Linked DNA regions of Arabidopsis thaliana. The protein of the gene in region 1 interacts with the protein of each later gene in a pairwise test. Each region holds a gene or a part of one and is shown in the gene's direction. Other genes may lie near its edges.

The links. Proteins that work in one complex are often made in the same cells at the same time.
Region 2: the proteins of AGL66 (region 1) and AGL96 interact in a two-hybrid assay, tested with the Arabidopsis thaliana proteins (one large-scale study listed by BioGRID).
Region 3: the proteins of AGL66 (region 1) and AGL90 interact in a two-hybrid assay, tested with the Arabidopsis thaliana proteins (one large-scale study listed by BioGRID).

Annotation. Positions count from the first base shown.
Region 1 is NC_003070.9:29,313,933-29,319,764, reverse strand, and holds AGL66 (AGAMOUS-like 66), read left to right. Parts: upstream 1-2,578; 5' UTR 2,579-2,697; coding exon 2,698-2,882; intron 2,883-2,982; coding exon 2,983-3,036; intron 3,037-3,122; coding exon 3,123-3,155; intron 3,156-3,265; coding exon 3,266-3,284; intron 3,285-3,408; coding exon 3,409-3,470; intron 3,471-3,575; coding exon 3,576-3,603; intron 3,604-3,676; coding exon 3,677-3,738; intron 3,739-3,832; coding exon 3,833-3,932; intron 3,933-4,021; coding exon 4,022-4,354; intron 4,355-4,430; coding exon 4,431-4,553; 3' UTR 4,554-4,924; downstream 4,925-5,832. Other genes in the region: AST56 (STAS domain / Sulfate transporter family), read left to right, coding at 951-1,144, 1,263-1,357, 1,464-1,540, 1,648-1,800. UniProt on the Arabidopsis thaliana protein: Probable transcription factor that forms a heterodimer with the MADS-box protein AGL30 and is involved in the regulation of pollen maturation at the late stages of pollen development and pollen tube growth.
Region 2 is NC_003076.8:1,980,375-1,984,557, forward strand, and holds AGL96 (AGAMOUS-like 96), read left to right. Parts: upstream 1-2,069; coding exon 2,070-2,798; 3' UTR 2,799-2,831; downstream 2,832-4,183.
Region 3 is NC_003076.8:9,990,333-9,994,915, reverse strand, and holds AGL90 (AGAMOUS-like 90), read left to right. Parts: upstream 1-2,145; coding exon 2,146-2,802; intron 2,803-2,925; coding exon 2,926-3,231; downstream 3,232-4,583. UniProt on the Arabidopsis thaliana protein: Probable transcription factor.

The DNA of each region.
Region 1 (5,832 bases):
GGAATCATTATTCCAAGGGTTTTGGGATGTCTTATGAAATGATTTTGGCAAAAGAGGATGTAAATTTTTTTGAATAAAAAGTAGTCAGCAAAACATATGTTTTATTGGGATTTTTTAGATAATTAAATCAGAGAATAGGGCTGGGCATATGAGTAACACATTCGAGTTCGGGTAGAACCCGTTCGGGTTTGGGATTAATGGGTATATGATTTACTACCTAATAGAATAATTCTAAATATTCGGTTCGGGTCGGTCCAGTTGGGTTTGAGTCAGTTTGGATAAAAAGTTTCAGGCCCTAAAAATACTCAAAAAAATAGAAACGGGTATTTTGTATGTAGATAGTGCGTCTCCAAACAAAAAAAACTTTTAAATTTATTAAGTTTTAATAAATTTAATTATATTTGAATATATTTTACTAAATTTTGACAAATATAACAAATAATTTTGACAAACATAACAAACATAACAAAATATACAATTTAATTTATACAAAATATTAATAGCACGGGTTATGATCTAGTTTATTAACTATATAATTGAAACTATTGTTTTTACTCAAGATTGATTGATGCCCTGAGGAAGTCAACAAAACTCTTTATATTCAATCATGTGAATTATTCCTATAGACAACAAAAGCGTCGATATCTCATATATTTTCTAACCAATAAAACTGCTATATAAAAATGCTACTAGGCCGACCAAATTCGCTGTGCATAGACAGACCCTGTACGACAAAACAATCAATAATGTATACTGTTTCATTCAAGTGGCAAATAAGTACACAAAAAATCAAATACATATGTTTAAAGTACCTTTGAAAAACTGGCTGTGAGAATGGATACTTGTGATCGATCTTTATCCTTTTGATCAGCTTAATCAGTTGTGATCTTACACTGTGAATTTTGATGGATAAGACTATGTATATAACAGAGTTATTTGTATATATGTAGGTGGGGATATCGTTTGCAAGAATAATGTTGAGTTCGATAAGACCAAGCATTGAGGCCTTAGGGAGGTTATCAAAAACAGATATCTTCGGTGACATAAATCAGTATCCAATGGCAAATAAGACTGCAGGATTATTGACTCTTCGAATCAGTTCTCCTTTGCTATGCTTTGCTAATGCCAATTTTATAAGAGACAGGTCATTAATCAATATTTATCTTCTTCTTTTTTTTTTTTTTTTGTTCAAACATCATTAGTTACTCTTGTGAAACTCTTATCAGTTTGACAAAAAAAATAAATATTTTTTCTTCTTTCAGAATATTGAATTCAGTTCAAGAAATAGAAGGAGAGGAGAATGAACAAGAAGTTCTAAAAGAAAATGGTCTTCAAGTAGTAATTCTCGACATGTCTTGTAAGCACATCCCACATTCTATCATGATATACTAATTTATAGAAAATGTTTTATTGTATATATAGTAGAGGTACTGAATCTTACATGTAACAAAATATTGGTGAAGGCGTGATGGGCGTAGATACATCAGGAGTATTTGCACTTGAAGAACTACATCAAGAGCTAGCTTCTAATGACATCCGGGTACATCTTTATTTCTCAATCAAATGTTATTCATTCACTATAGTTACATATGTGGGTTCATTGGATTTTCAAATTACCAATATTTGTTTTATGTTTGTGGGCTGCAGTTAGTCATCGCTAGTCCCAGATGGAGGGTACTTCACAAATTGAAGCGAGCAAAATTGGACGAGAAAATAAAGACAGAAAATATATATATGACAGTAGGAGAAGCCGTAGATATTTATGTAAGAGCAAGATCTACGTCCCACGAGTTGTGTTGATATATATATGTAAGAAACAGTACAACTCAAACATATAACCTAGTGATAATTTTATTGTTTTCTCATATAGCCTATAGTTTTTATTTAATGTACACCTGACTAAAAAGTACAAATTTCAATGCATAAGGCTACAAAATATTCTTCTTCTTTTTTTTCTTTTTTTCTTTTTATTTTCTTTTACATCTTTTGGTTTGGCTTACAATTTTTTTTTACATCTTTTGGTTTGGTTTACATTCCTAAGTGTTTTTTTAAGAAAAATAAATAAAATAATACAAGGATATATATAGCAGTGAATTGGAATCAGAACTTACATTGGTGTCTTGGTGAGTGAATAATCATATGAATCTTCCACTTTGAACATCATCACGAACAATTCACAATGTTTAAGCAAAAACACCTTGAGATAGTGTTTAACGGTCGGAAAATATAGCCGTTGAAGGAAAGTCAAATATTTGACCATTAAGTAGATATTGCCGAAGCCTCTCCATATGCTGAGAGAGTAGCCATTGCGAGGTAAAGAGGACTAGTTGACTTTTATGTTTTGTTTTTACAATTAATTATTGACAAAATAAACGATATATGCTGGTTAATCTGAACGTTATTAATTGATCCCAATACTCCTATATGAATTTTCTGTGGCAAAAAATAACATCATATTCTTAATTCGTTCAAAGAACAAAACCCTTTTAATCTCTCTTAATCTCTTCCATACATTTCTAACCAAATCTCTCTTATACCTAACCTCTCCTTCTTTCATGGTTCTCTTTTCTCTCGTCCGTACATCTCTCATATATATATAGGCACTTTTGCCTCCAATGATCAGATTTTCGCATTCCCTAAACCAAAATAAAGAAGAGTCTTTGAGTTTGTTGGTTGCATTGATCGGATATAAGAGACATGGGTCGAGTGAAATTGGAGATAAAACGAATAGAAAACACAACGAATCGACAAGTTACATTCTCCAAAAGACGAAATGGTCTTATAAAGAAAGCTTATGAATTGTCCATTCTTTGTGACATCGACATTGCTCTCCTCATGTTCTCTCCCTCTGATCGCCTTAGCCTCTTTTCGGGCAAAACAAGGTTTTTTGTTGTTGTTGTCTTATAACATTTTCTTTCGGTTAATTGTACAAAACATGGAAACATTCATTTGATCTATATTTATTCGTTAAACTCTTGTCAGGATTGAAGACGTTTTCTCTAGATACATCAATCTTTCTGATCAAGAACGAGAGAAGTAAGCTGACCTTTCAAGGCTTTAATAGATTCTCTAAAGATATTCCACTCATTTGTTCTTAATATTTCTCTTTCATTTTGTTTTAGTGCTCTAGTATTCCCCGATCAAAGTCGACGCCCGTATGTATCTTACTCTTATTCCGATAAATAATTAAACATATAATAACCGTATATTTATAATCATCAAAATCTAATTGAGTTTTTCATATTTTGACAACTCTATCTTGCAGAGATTTCCAGAGCAAAGAGGTATGTAATTAGATTAAGCATATTGTGCATGTGTCATGTGTGTATATATACCTAGCTCCTTTTCAATGAAGGACAATTATACATTTCAGATTATTGATCTCGAAATTTTCTTGTCACGTGACAGTATCTACTCCGGACTTTGCAGCAACTCAAGGCTGAGAATGATATTGCTCTTCAACTTACCAAGTCTCAAATTCTTTCTCTACTTTCATTATTATATAACTACGTTATTTGCAATAATTCGGAAGTTGATTTTCTTTATTTTTCTCTTATTGGATGATTTTAAAAAAGCCCTACAGCTATCAACTCCGACGTCGAGGTGAATCTTCTATTTTTTTCCTCTAGCTAATAACTTTACTTTATGTTATTTACTCTCTAATCATCAATTTTAGGAACTTGAGCATGAAGTTTATAAGTTACAACAACAACTTCTCATGGCAGAGGAAGAACTAAGGTCTTCTTTTTATAACCAAAAACACAGTGAATGTGATACAATGTATGAAAATTTATGTAACTAATACTTATATCCAAATTATATATATAATTAGGAAATACGAACCAGATCCAATCAGGTTTACAACAATGGAAGAGTACGAAACTTGTGAGAAGCAGCTCATGGACACCTTAACACGTGTCAATCAACGACGGGTCAATAATTTAAACTCCCCTTTATTTTTTTCTAAGCATAATGTATTCAACAATATCTATTAGTAACTAAATAATTTCTTGAGACGCAGGAACATATATTGAGTCAAGACCAATTATCTTCATATGAAGCATCTGCTTTACAACAACAGCAAAGCATGGGTGGGCCTTTTGGAAACGACGTCGTTGGAGGATGGCTGACTGAAAATGGGCCTAACGAAGCCCATTTATTCGACGCATCGGCACATTCAGCAATGTATGAAACTTTATTGCAAGGAAGTAGCTCAAGCTCGAACCAAAACAACATTATGGGTGAATCCAATGTGTCAAATCATAACGGTGACATGTTTCAAGAATGGGCCCAAGCCTATAATTCTACTACGGCCCATAACCCTTCGACTCTATTTCCTCCTATGCAGCATCAGGTTCTATATTTTCTCTTTTTCCGAAATAAATTAAAATTGTTTCACTAATTTTTTTTTTTGCTTTTAAATATGTTAGCATGGACTGGTGGTTGATCCCAATATAGAAGAAATTGAAATACCGGTTATGAAGAAGGATGCACAAGCAGACCACGAGGTCTCCGACTATGATATAAGAATGCCTCAGCTCAGTAGCCAATAATCTCAAGGAATTTCAATTTTACCATATATTATTGACATAATTTATACGTTTTTTCTTTTATTTTTTAGAAAAGTTAACAATATATATACGGTTTTATTTATCTATGAAGACAAGATATTACTATATATATGTTTATATAAAACACAACTTCCACACTTAAGAGTTAAGACCTTAACCTTTTATTGACTTGTATATTGTACATAACGTTTCTATTATAAAAAAAACATTTTACTGTTAAACAATGTATATACTATATATTATGTATATAAAACATGAAAAACATGTTTTGCTCTCAAATATGCATATGATTATGTCAATTTTGCTTGTCTAATTTTTTTAAAAGATCATTCAACTTTTGGTTGAGTGAAGATAATCATAATTTTGTTTGGACTTATTTAAGTATAAAACAGTTGAAAGAGAAATTTAACTTAAAACAAAAAAACAAAAAACGGAAAGAGTGATTTTTTAAAATTTTTAGTTTTTTTATTTGATATCACTAACGTACGCGGGTTTAAACGTTCTAGTGGAGACACTATGGTTAGTATTTAGAAAATTATTTTGATCTATCGAATTTTAGTGGGTGCAGTTGCTCAATACTTGTAATACATGCAAATGCATATACCTCTATATTAATCTTTTTTTTTTTTGGTAGAATAGGAGGAGACTATGTCTCTCACCAATTCATTAAAAGAGAATAAAACGCCATACGTATATACGAACATTCTATAAGTGCGCAGACCCACTAATATCCTTTAAAAAAATAAAACAAATAAAATCAGGACTAATAGTAACATATGCATTTTTCTATTTTAAAAAAAAAACACTGGTTTCCATAAATTTGTGTGATATCTGGGAAAAAAAACATAAAATATTAATTTAGGCTTTTTTCTTTTATTATAAATTTTCTAAGAACTTCAAACTCGTATGTGTTATCCACTAATTAAGATGCATTGACAAAAAAGTAGTATCTAATAAAGTCAATATATTCTATAAATAATGGACCAATCAAGAAATTTGTGAGACAATCTTATATATACTTGTGCCCCCAAAAAAAAAAAAAAAAAAAAAAAATCTTATATATACTCATAGAGATCAATTATATAACCTTACGTAGACGATGAAGTGGTATGACGTAAAAACTGTCCTCTATATATGAAAAAAAGAAAGGTTAGTAACTTAGTATGTAGAATTTGAGTTGTATGTGTTAAACAAATTCACAGAAATTTAATAGTGTGTATCAAATGTATTATTCACAATGACTACAAAATAGATTTTGCTC
Region 2 (4,183 bases), on another chromosome or scaffold:
AATAAGACAGAAGTAATTATACATTTAAAATCATGAAGAAATAGTGAAAACTTTGTTAAGAACTCTGCGATGGGAGTACTTTTAGGGTTTGGTTATCTTGGTTTAGTTTTGGTTTGGGGACTGCATTTTGCAATTGCTTTCTCTAGCTCATCATTATTTACCAAATTCCTCTTGTTAATTGAGTCACGTCTTCATTAACCATGTTTTTTTTTCTGTTGGCTCAGCAGTATGCATTCTAATTGGATTTGAAAGGTGAACATAGAATCAATATTTAAAGGGGGTGCAAGCAAGTGATCGGTAAGCTGAACCTATTAAAATCTCATATTTCCTTCTTAATTACTGATATCCTCCATTAATACCCCCGACTAATATTTTCTTATGTATCCATTCCATTCTGTTTGCGCGTACGTAAATATCTTTTTTCAATGTTTTGTCGTTCCTCCTTTTTACATCTTTTATCAATTTTATTATATTTTCTACAAATCACAAATTAATTATTAAGGTTTTAGTATCTCATTTCATACGACATATTTGTTTTCACCTATATATGCAGCCATGCAGGATCTTTTAATCGAAAGAGTTCACCTCGCCACAAAAAAAAAGTTAATACTACTATTTATTTCTTAGGTTGTAGCCTTGTAGGTCATTGCTCTTATTTTAATATAATTAGATTAAAAAAATAGACATGTCACATGTTCTCTATTTCTTCAAACATCTTGATTATGATATCTAAATTCTAAAGTTTTCAATTATTTTGTTATCTATGTTATAAATATATACGTTAACACAATTAAGAATATACGAATATTTGAAATCATCACGATGGATTTGTAAGATTATTTTATATGTTTTTACAAAAATGTAGCCTAATCAATATCTTTTTTCTAGGTCTCCATGGACACTATACGTACACTCGAGTGCTGAGGGAACAAGCAAACACGATGGCATCGTCTGTGTATCGTACTTAGAGGAAAAGCTGCATGCATGTATTCTCTTTTTTTTCCCTCAACAGCATTTTTTCACATACAAATAGATCTATATATATATATATACATATATATCTTACTATTTTTTTTTTTATCTTACTATTAAAAAAAAAAAGCAGAAAATTCTTAAAGAAAAGAAAGTGCTGAATGTTGATGATACTTAAAATACAATTGACATATTGTAAAACGAAATGAAAAGCTACATGAAAATATGATAATATATATATATATATATATATATATATATACATTTTTAACACATTTTGGCAAAAAATTCATTTGGCTTATGCATTTATTGTAATTCTCTTGACATTAAATGATTTGTGTCTGTATTATATATTTTCGAAGTCCAACAAACTACGATTTACAAATACTTAAAACTGTTATTTTCCAGGTCCATATGGACTTTTACATATAGATCCACTACTTTCGTCATTAGATAAGCCCAATTACAACAAAAACGTTGGCAACACTCTCACATTACTATTCTTCATTTGTTTTATATATTTGGTAAGACAATCATTAATGCTTTCACAAAATTGCAAAATTTTCTGACTAAATTTATTCCATAAAATTCATTCCAAATTCATTCCAGTAAAATTGAAATTTTTAAACAATAATATTATTACAAAAAAATGCTGTTTAATTTCACATGATAGAGTTATATGGTAGAACGGTTTGGATTGATATTATGGAATATATACCACGCGTAAAATCTTAAAATTAAATATAAAAATATATTTCTATAATCCTAAACTTTAAACAATATTATATTAGTCCACGATTATAAATGTTTACCAAAATTAGTACTATATCACTTTTACAATAAATTATTATATAAAATACATAAAATAAAAATATTGCCCCGCGGTTAAATCCTAGTAGAATAGAGGAGAAACATACTATTTTCCCACTAATTAAGTTACCAAAAAATCTATTCAAACATTTCTCAATTGGAGACTACAACCATGGAAATTCTCCCCGTTCAACCTCTTATCCTAGGCTTTTCTTATATAAGACCACACCTAGGATGCTTAGTTTTCACACCACAAAGAAAAAAACAATTCCAAGTGATCCTTAGCCATGGCTCGGAAAAAAGTACGAGCTGCATGGATCCGTGACGATAGGATGAGGAGGGCAAGCCTCAAGAGGAGGTTAACGGGGCTTATCAAAAAAGTGAATGAACTGTCCATTCTGTGCGATATGCGCGCTAGTGTGGTCGTTTTCAATCGAGAAGAAGAACAATTGACGGCGTGGCCATCTCCCGAGGCAGCTAATTCACTCATCGACAACTTTTATTCTCTAACCGACCATGAAAGGACCATGAAGGCCGTTGATCCGGAGTCATACGTCCAGACCGTTATCGAAAAGATTGAGAAGAAACGAGCCGATACTCGGAAGGTTATCACGGAGTTTGAGATGGACGAACTCATGTTCCAAGTCCAAAATGGTCGTGAACTTGCTGATCTCTCCCCAACCGAGGCTGATAAACTAATACCATATGCGGATAAGAAACTTATGTGGTTGAGTAAACGGATGGGTTCTACGGGGGTCGACGCCCTGAGGGCTTCGAATGTTGCGTCTGGGTCAGGTGGAAATGGGTTAAACATGATGGAAACTGGAAGAAGTTTCTATTATGTTGATAAATGGGTCTTCGTTGATCCACAAGTCCAAAACCCTTGTGATGTTGAGACTCATTTACCCACAATGGTCAGTGGCTTAGACCTAAACATGGAACCATCTGATGAAGACTTGGGGACCTATAAAGGAGAGAGCAGCATGGCCGGTGGTGCTGAAGACGATGCCGAATGAAGCTGCCGTCAAAGTTGACATGACAACTTGTCTTGAAGTTTTCTTGAAATAATTAATGTTGTTCTTTTTCTATTATTGTTGTTTTTCTTGCTCGTTTCGTATCTCTAGTTTTTCTATGTTTTGGTCAAGTTTTTATCATGTCTCTTGTTATGTGTTAAACTCTTGTATTTGCTTGTCATGTCAACTTAATTTTAATCGAATGTTTGTTTCTTTACTATTCTTTGCAGTTTTGAAGAACTCATCCGTATTTAACAAATTTGTGCAAAATGTTAGGGCATTTTTTTTTAACTTTTCCTAATTTTTCTAGAGCATCGTATTTTAATAAGATAATCATTGTCATGCTATGCACGTAAATTATTAGAGATATTATCATTCTCATGCATCGTACATAGTTTTGTTCATTTTTGGACGCATTTTGAAACTTAAAATGAAACATCTATATGCTACGTTTTATTATCTATTTATGGTCAACACTTATATTTTCCTTAATATAATCAATTCATTTGTTCTCCTATAACAAATTATTTTAATTACTATGGACTTGTATCCTATTAATTTGTGTTAGTGTTTTTATTGTATTATTACCCATTCAACCCCCAAAATTGCAAGTTGTTTGCAAGAGAAATTATTCTCATTTTAACGACTAAGTCGCTTGGCTCATGCACCTTAATTCAATTGCATTCAAAAATAAGAAACTTTAATGTGAAAAATGTTTAAACTTTAGAAGCTAATGAATATATTTACTTATTATTTTCTTTGTTTGACCTCTCTTTATTATCAATTAAAGTAATAAGTTTGACTATCTCTAAATAATGAAATGTTATGATATCATAAAAGGAATGCATGACCCAAATGTAGGAATAAGAATTTATGGGGCATGCATATCTAGTTTTCTATATAAACCAATATACATATCATAAAAATAATTAAAAGGAAATATCTTAATTACTGTATTTAAGAAGTAAAAGAAAAGAAATCTTGGTGTATTTTTTAAGAAATAAAAGGAAAGATATCATTTTATTTTCTTTGACAGCTCATCAGGTTATTTTCTCAAAAGGGCAGATGATAAAGTTAGGATAAGTGTCAAAGAATACTTATGTTAAATTTAGAAGGAATGATATCATATATAGGATATTTTCCTCAAATTGATGAGTGTTGAAATGAGGTTCATTTGATGGGCCGATTTAATCCGACCTAAGTAACTACCCAATTGAGTTGGGTATGTAGCTATGATGGGCCGATTCAAATATGGCTCAGAGGCACTAGCACTAGTAGTAGCATAGTTGTTGTAGAAAAATAGGGCTTAAAATGGGCCTTCATTAATGAGCTTATTATGTCGGTCCATCTGAAAGGAGTTTTTTTTTTTTTTTTTTTGTGTTTCAACT
Region 3 (4,583 bases), on another chromosome or scaffold:
GTGCAATAAAAAATATATAATATCTGGTCAATGCCCCAAAAGGTATAATATCCACATGATTTTATAAATTATAATTTTATATCCAATCATGTTTATACATGTGTACCTGCATTAATATCCATTTGAATGTAAAAAATAATAAAAAAAGCAAAAATCATATTACTGTATTAAACTCTTGATTTTACCCAAATTATGCATATATTTTCTAAATGTAAATAATTTTCATAAATAATTTTTTTATATGTCATTATTAATAAATAAATAAATAAATACATGTAGTCATATTAATGTATTAAACTCTTGATTTTATCCTTATATGTAGTCCATTTTTAAAAATACTCATTCTCTTGAGCAAAAATACCAAATTACTCTCATCTAATGAGAACAAGTAATTTATAAACTGAAATTTTCCCGCTAAAAGTTTTTTTTCCCGCCAAAGTTTTTTCTCTGTAACAAATTTTTTTCCAGCTAAAAACATGCATTTAAAAATCCTTATAAAGTGTTTTAAAAGCTTTGTAAATTTGTTAAAAACCCTTGTGAATCATTTTAAAACCTATTAAAATCTTTATAAAGTTTTTAAATATATATGTAAATACTTAAAAACCCATTTTAAAACCTTTGTTTTACATTTTAAAACCTTTTACAATGATTTTAAAAGATTTACAAGAATTTTTAAAGGATTTAAAAGGATTTTAAAAACATTTGTAAATCTTTTAAAAACCCTTGTAAATCCTTTAAAACCCTTGTAAACAATTTAAAAATCTTTTAAAACCCCTTAATAAATTTTGAACCATTTTAAAACTCTTATGAACCTCTTACAAAATATTTTAAAAACCCTTGTAAGTCCTTTAAAACCCTTGTAAACCATTAAAAATCTTTTCAATTTCTTGTAAACCCTTTAATAATTTTTAAACCATTTTAAAATTCTTTAAAAATATTTTAAAATTCTTTTAAAAATCTTTTTTAATCTTTTAAAAACCCTTGTAAATCTTTTAAAACCTTTTTAAAATGTTTTAAAATCACTTGTAAATCTTTTAAAACCCTTTAAAAATATTTTAAAATCTTTTGTAAATCTTTTAAAAACCTTTTACACTTTATAAAAATCTCTTAAAATCCCTAATCTTTTAAAACTCTTTTACACCTTTTTTAAAAATCTTTTAAAATCCCTTGTAAATCTTTTAAAACCCTTTAAAATCTCATTTCAAAAATCTCTTAAAATCCTTTATAATTTTTTTTTGCGGAAAAAATGTTTTTAAGAAACCTTTTTGGCAGAAAAGTTTTTTTTAAAATTTTTTGGCCGGAAACTTTTGGCGGAAAATTTATTTTCAGAATATTTTTGGCGGGAAAAAATTAATATTTCATTTTTTACTTAAAACATTTTCTAAATAGGGGTAAAATGGTCATTAAAAATTAAGAGAAAGTATAAATGAAAATAACAAATAAGAAAATGCATTATTGAAAAGGATAGTGTTGAAAGGGCATTCATAACAATTATTCAAAGTTTTTGGCGTTTATGTGAGATGTTCTTTGCATATTTTCAAATTGTTTGCCCATTCTAAAAATTTATTTGTATGATTCAAAGTACATCTTTAAATTACTGTAGATAACAAACTTTCTGAAATTTACTTTAGATAACAAACTTTAGAGTAATTTCTAGCTTACCACAATTCTATATACATTGACAATATATTACTGTATTTTAAAAGTACAATCACTTAAAACTATTACAAAACTTCACATTCTAAGAACAAAGTAAGCTAGAAATTATTCTTAGTAAAAAAAAACAATGAGAGTAAGAGAAATTAATTCTTAGTATAAACAAAACTTAGAAATAAAAATATTATATTACATGCCCCCTCATATTACATGGATAGATTTTTTTCTTTTTTTTGTCATCAGATATTATTTAGGATCAGACGAGCCAAACTTTAGATAAGAAAAAATATTTTTATATAGATAATAATGAATTACCTGGTCAATTAATTGATAAGAGATTTCCTGGATGTTATTTAGAATTAATGAGTCCACCAAAGTGATAAGAATCCTAGTGACTATAAAATCATCTTTCTTTGCTATATAAACATTCTTTGAGTAAACAAATTAAACAAACCACACAAAACAAAACAAAAAAACATATTGATGGGGATGAAGAAGGTAAAGCTATCTTTGATAGCTAATGAAAGATCAAGGAAAACATCCTTCATGAAGAGGAAAAACGGGATATTCAAGAAACTCCACGAGTTGTCAACTCTATGTGGTGTCCAAGCTTGTGCTCTCATCTATAGTCCATTCATACCGGTTCCAGAGTCATGGCCGTCAAGGGAAGGTGCTAAAAAGGTAGCTTCAAAGTTTCTGGAGATGCCGCGGACAGCCCGAACCAGGAAGATGATGGATCAAGAAACCCATCTTATGGAGAGGATTACCAAAGCAAAAGAGCAACTAAAGAATTTGGCTGCTGAGAACCGAGAATTACAGGTTAGACGATTTATGTTTGATTGTGTTGAAGGCAAAATGTCCCAGTATCGTTATGATGCAAAAGACCTTCAAGATTTGCTATCTTGTATGAATCTATATCTCGATCAGCTTAACGGAAGGATCGAGTCCATTAAAGAAAACGGTGAGTCGTTGTTGTCTTCCGTCTCTCCTTTTCCTACTAGAATTGGTGTTGACGAAATTGGTGATGAGTCGTTTTCCGACTCTCCTATTCATTCTACAACTAGGGTTGTAGATACTCCTAATGCTACCAATCCTCATGTTCTTGCGGGCGATATGACTCCTTTTCTTGATGCGGACGCAAATGCGGTAACTGCTCCCAGTCGATTTTCTGATCATATTCAATATGAAAATATGAATATGAGTCAAAATCTGCATGAACCGTTTCAACACCTTGTTCCTACTAACGTTTGTGATTTTTATCAAAATCAGAATATGAATCAGGTTCAATACCAGGCTCCTAATAATCTGTTTAATCAGATTCAACGAGAATTCTACAACATAAATTTGAATCTGAATTTGAATCTGAATTCAAATCAGTATCTGAATCAACAACAATCATTCATGAATCCGATGGTGGAACAACATATGAATCATGTTGGAGGGCGTGAAAGCATTCCTTTCGTGGACAGAAACTACTACAACTACAATCAACTACCAGCCGTTGATCTTGCTTCCACCAGTTACATGCCTTCAACCACCGATGTTTATGATCCTTACATCAACAACAATCTCTAATCACAAAAGACGGAGATTTTCTAGTCTAAGTGTTCAGTTGTTTGAATTTGTGTTTTCTTCATTTCGAAAGACAAAAACTAATGTTGTTTATTAATAATGGTTGTAATGGTTAAAGGGTCTCTTTTTAACTTAATTATGTATTTTGATTATTAAGTAATGTTTTGCCCAAAAAAAAAAGATTATTGTGGGAAACTTTAACTGTGGAATTTATTTCGAAAATTTAATGTGTGATTGGTACAATATTTAGACGAAAGTTTTCATTTGAATTCTTTTAGGACCCATACGTAGAGAATAATTGTTTTCCCCAGCAATTTGAAGTAAGAAATATTATTCTTTGAATCAATTATGGATTTACCATTTTTTGGGATGGTATCTGTGGATTTTGCCCTTTTCTGAATAGTTTGTAGATTTTGCCTTTTTCACACTACGAAAATATGATTTAACATGTGTTTTATTCGTTATGTTTGGGTTTAGTCGGTTGTGCTTGTTCTTAGGATTTAATATTTTATATAAACTACGTATTTTTACCAAAAAAATCGGAAATACATACTTTTTTTAATGTTAGAAAATGGCATATCCATAAGATTTTAGTAAAAATGACAATTTCAAAAGATTTCTATGAAAAAATGGCAAAATCAACAATAATCTTTTTTTCTTTTGGAAAAAAATAATTTGATAACAAAATAAAATAAAAAAGAACTACTCTTATTCAATGTTAAAAAAATTGTTAGGCGCTAGTTAGGATTTTGATAGAAGCCTTGAGCCTATAACGATCAGTGCCTAGGTCGATTTTTTTTTAACATTGTTCCCATTCTTTTGGGCTCAAAAAAATGAGGTAGAAAATTTTTTCTTCCAAATTTTGCACCAGTTAGACCCTAAGTCATTTTTAAAAGAAAAAAAGTGTGGGTAGTTTTTAGTCTTTCAATTATAATAAAAATGTATAACTATATAGATAATATTAGAGATCTGTGTAAATCACCTAAATACTGTTTTAGGAAAAATAAAACTTTTGATAAGAAAAAAACTTGCAAAAAATACATCTACACACCATCACAACATTGATTACAGTATATATGTGTATGTGATAATATTCAGCATAAAATCTAACTGTTTTTTTAATGTCAAAACAAAATTATCATTAGTCTTTTATATAGTCTGCTCCTGCATATTGTGAAGATTTAGTTTTAAGGGTTTTCATTACATATTTGTTGGCTTGTGCAAATATTAATCATCTGGTGTTATTTTAAATTATGTTGAAAAATCGAGGGTGATAATTTGATAAAATTTTGTTTGTATTTTGTAATAAAACTGTATATATAAAGCAATCGCTTCTTCATCAAATCTACCATGAA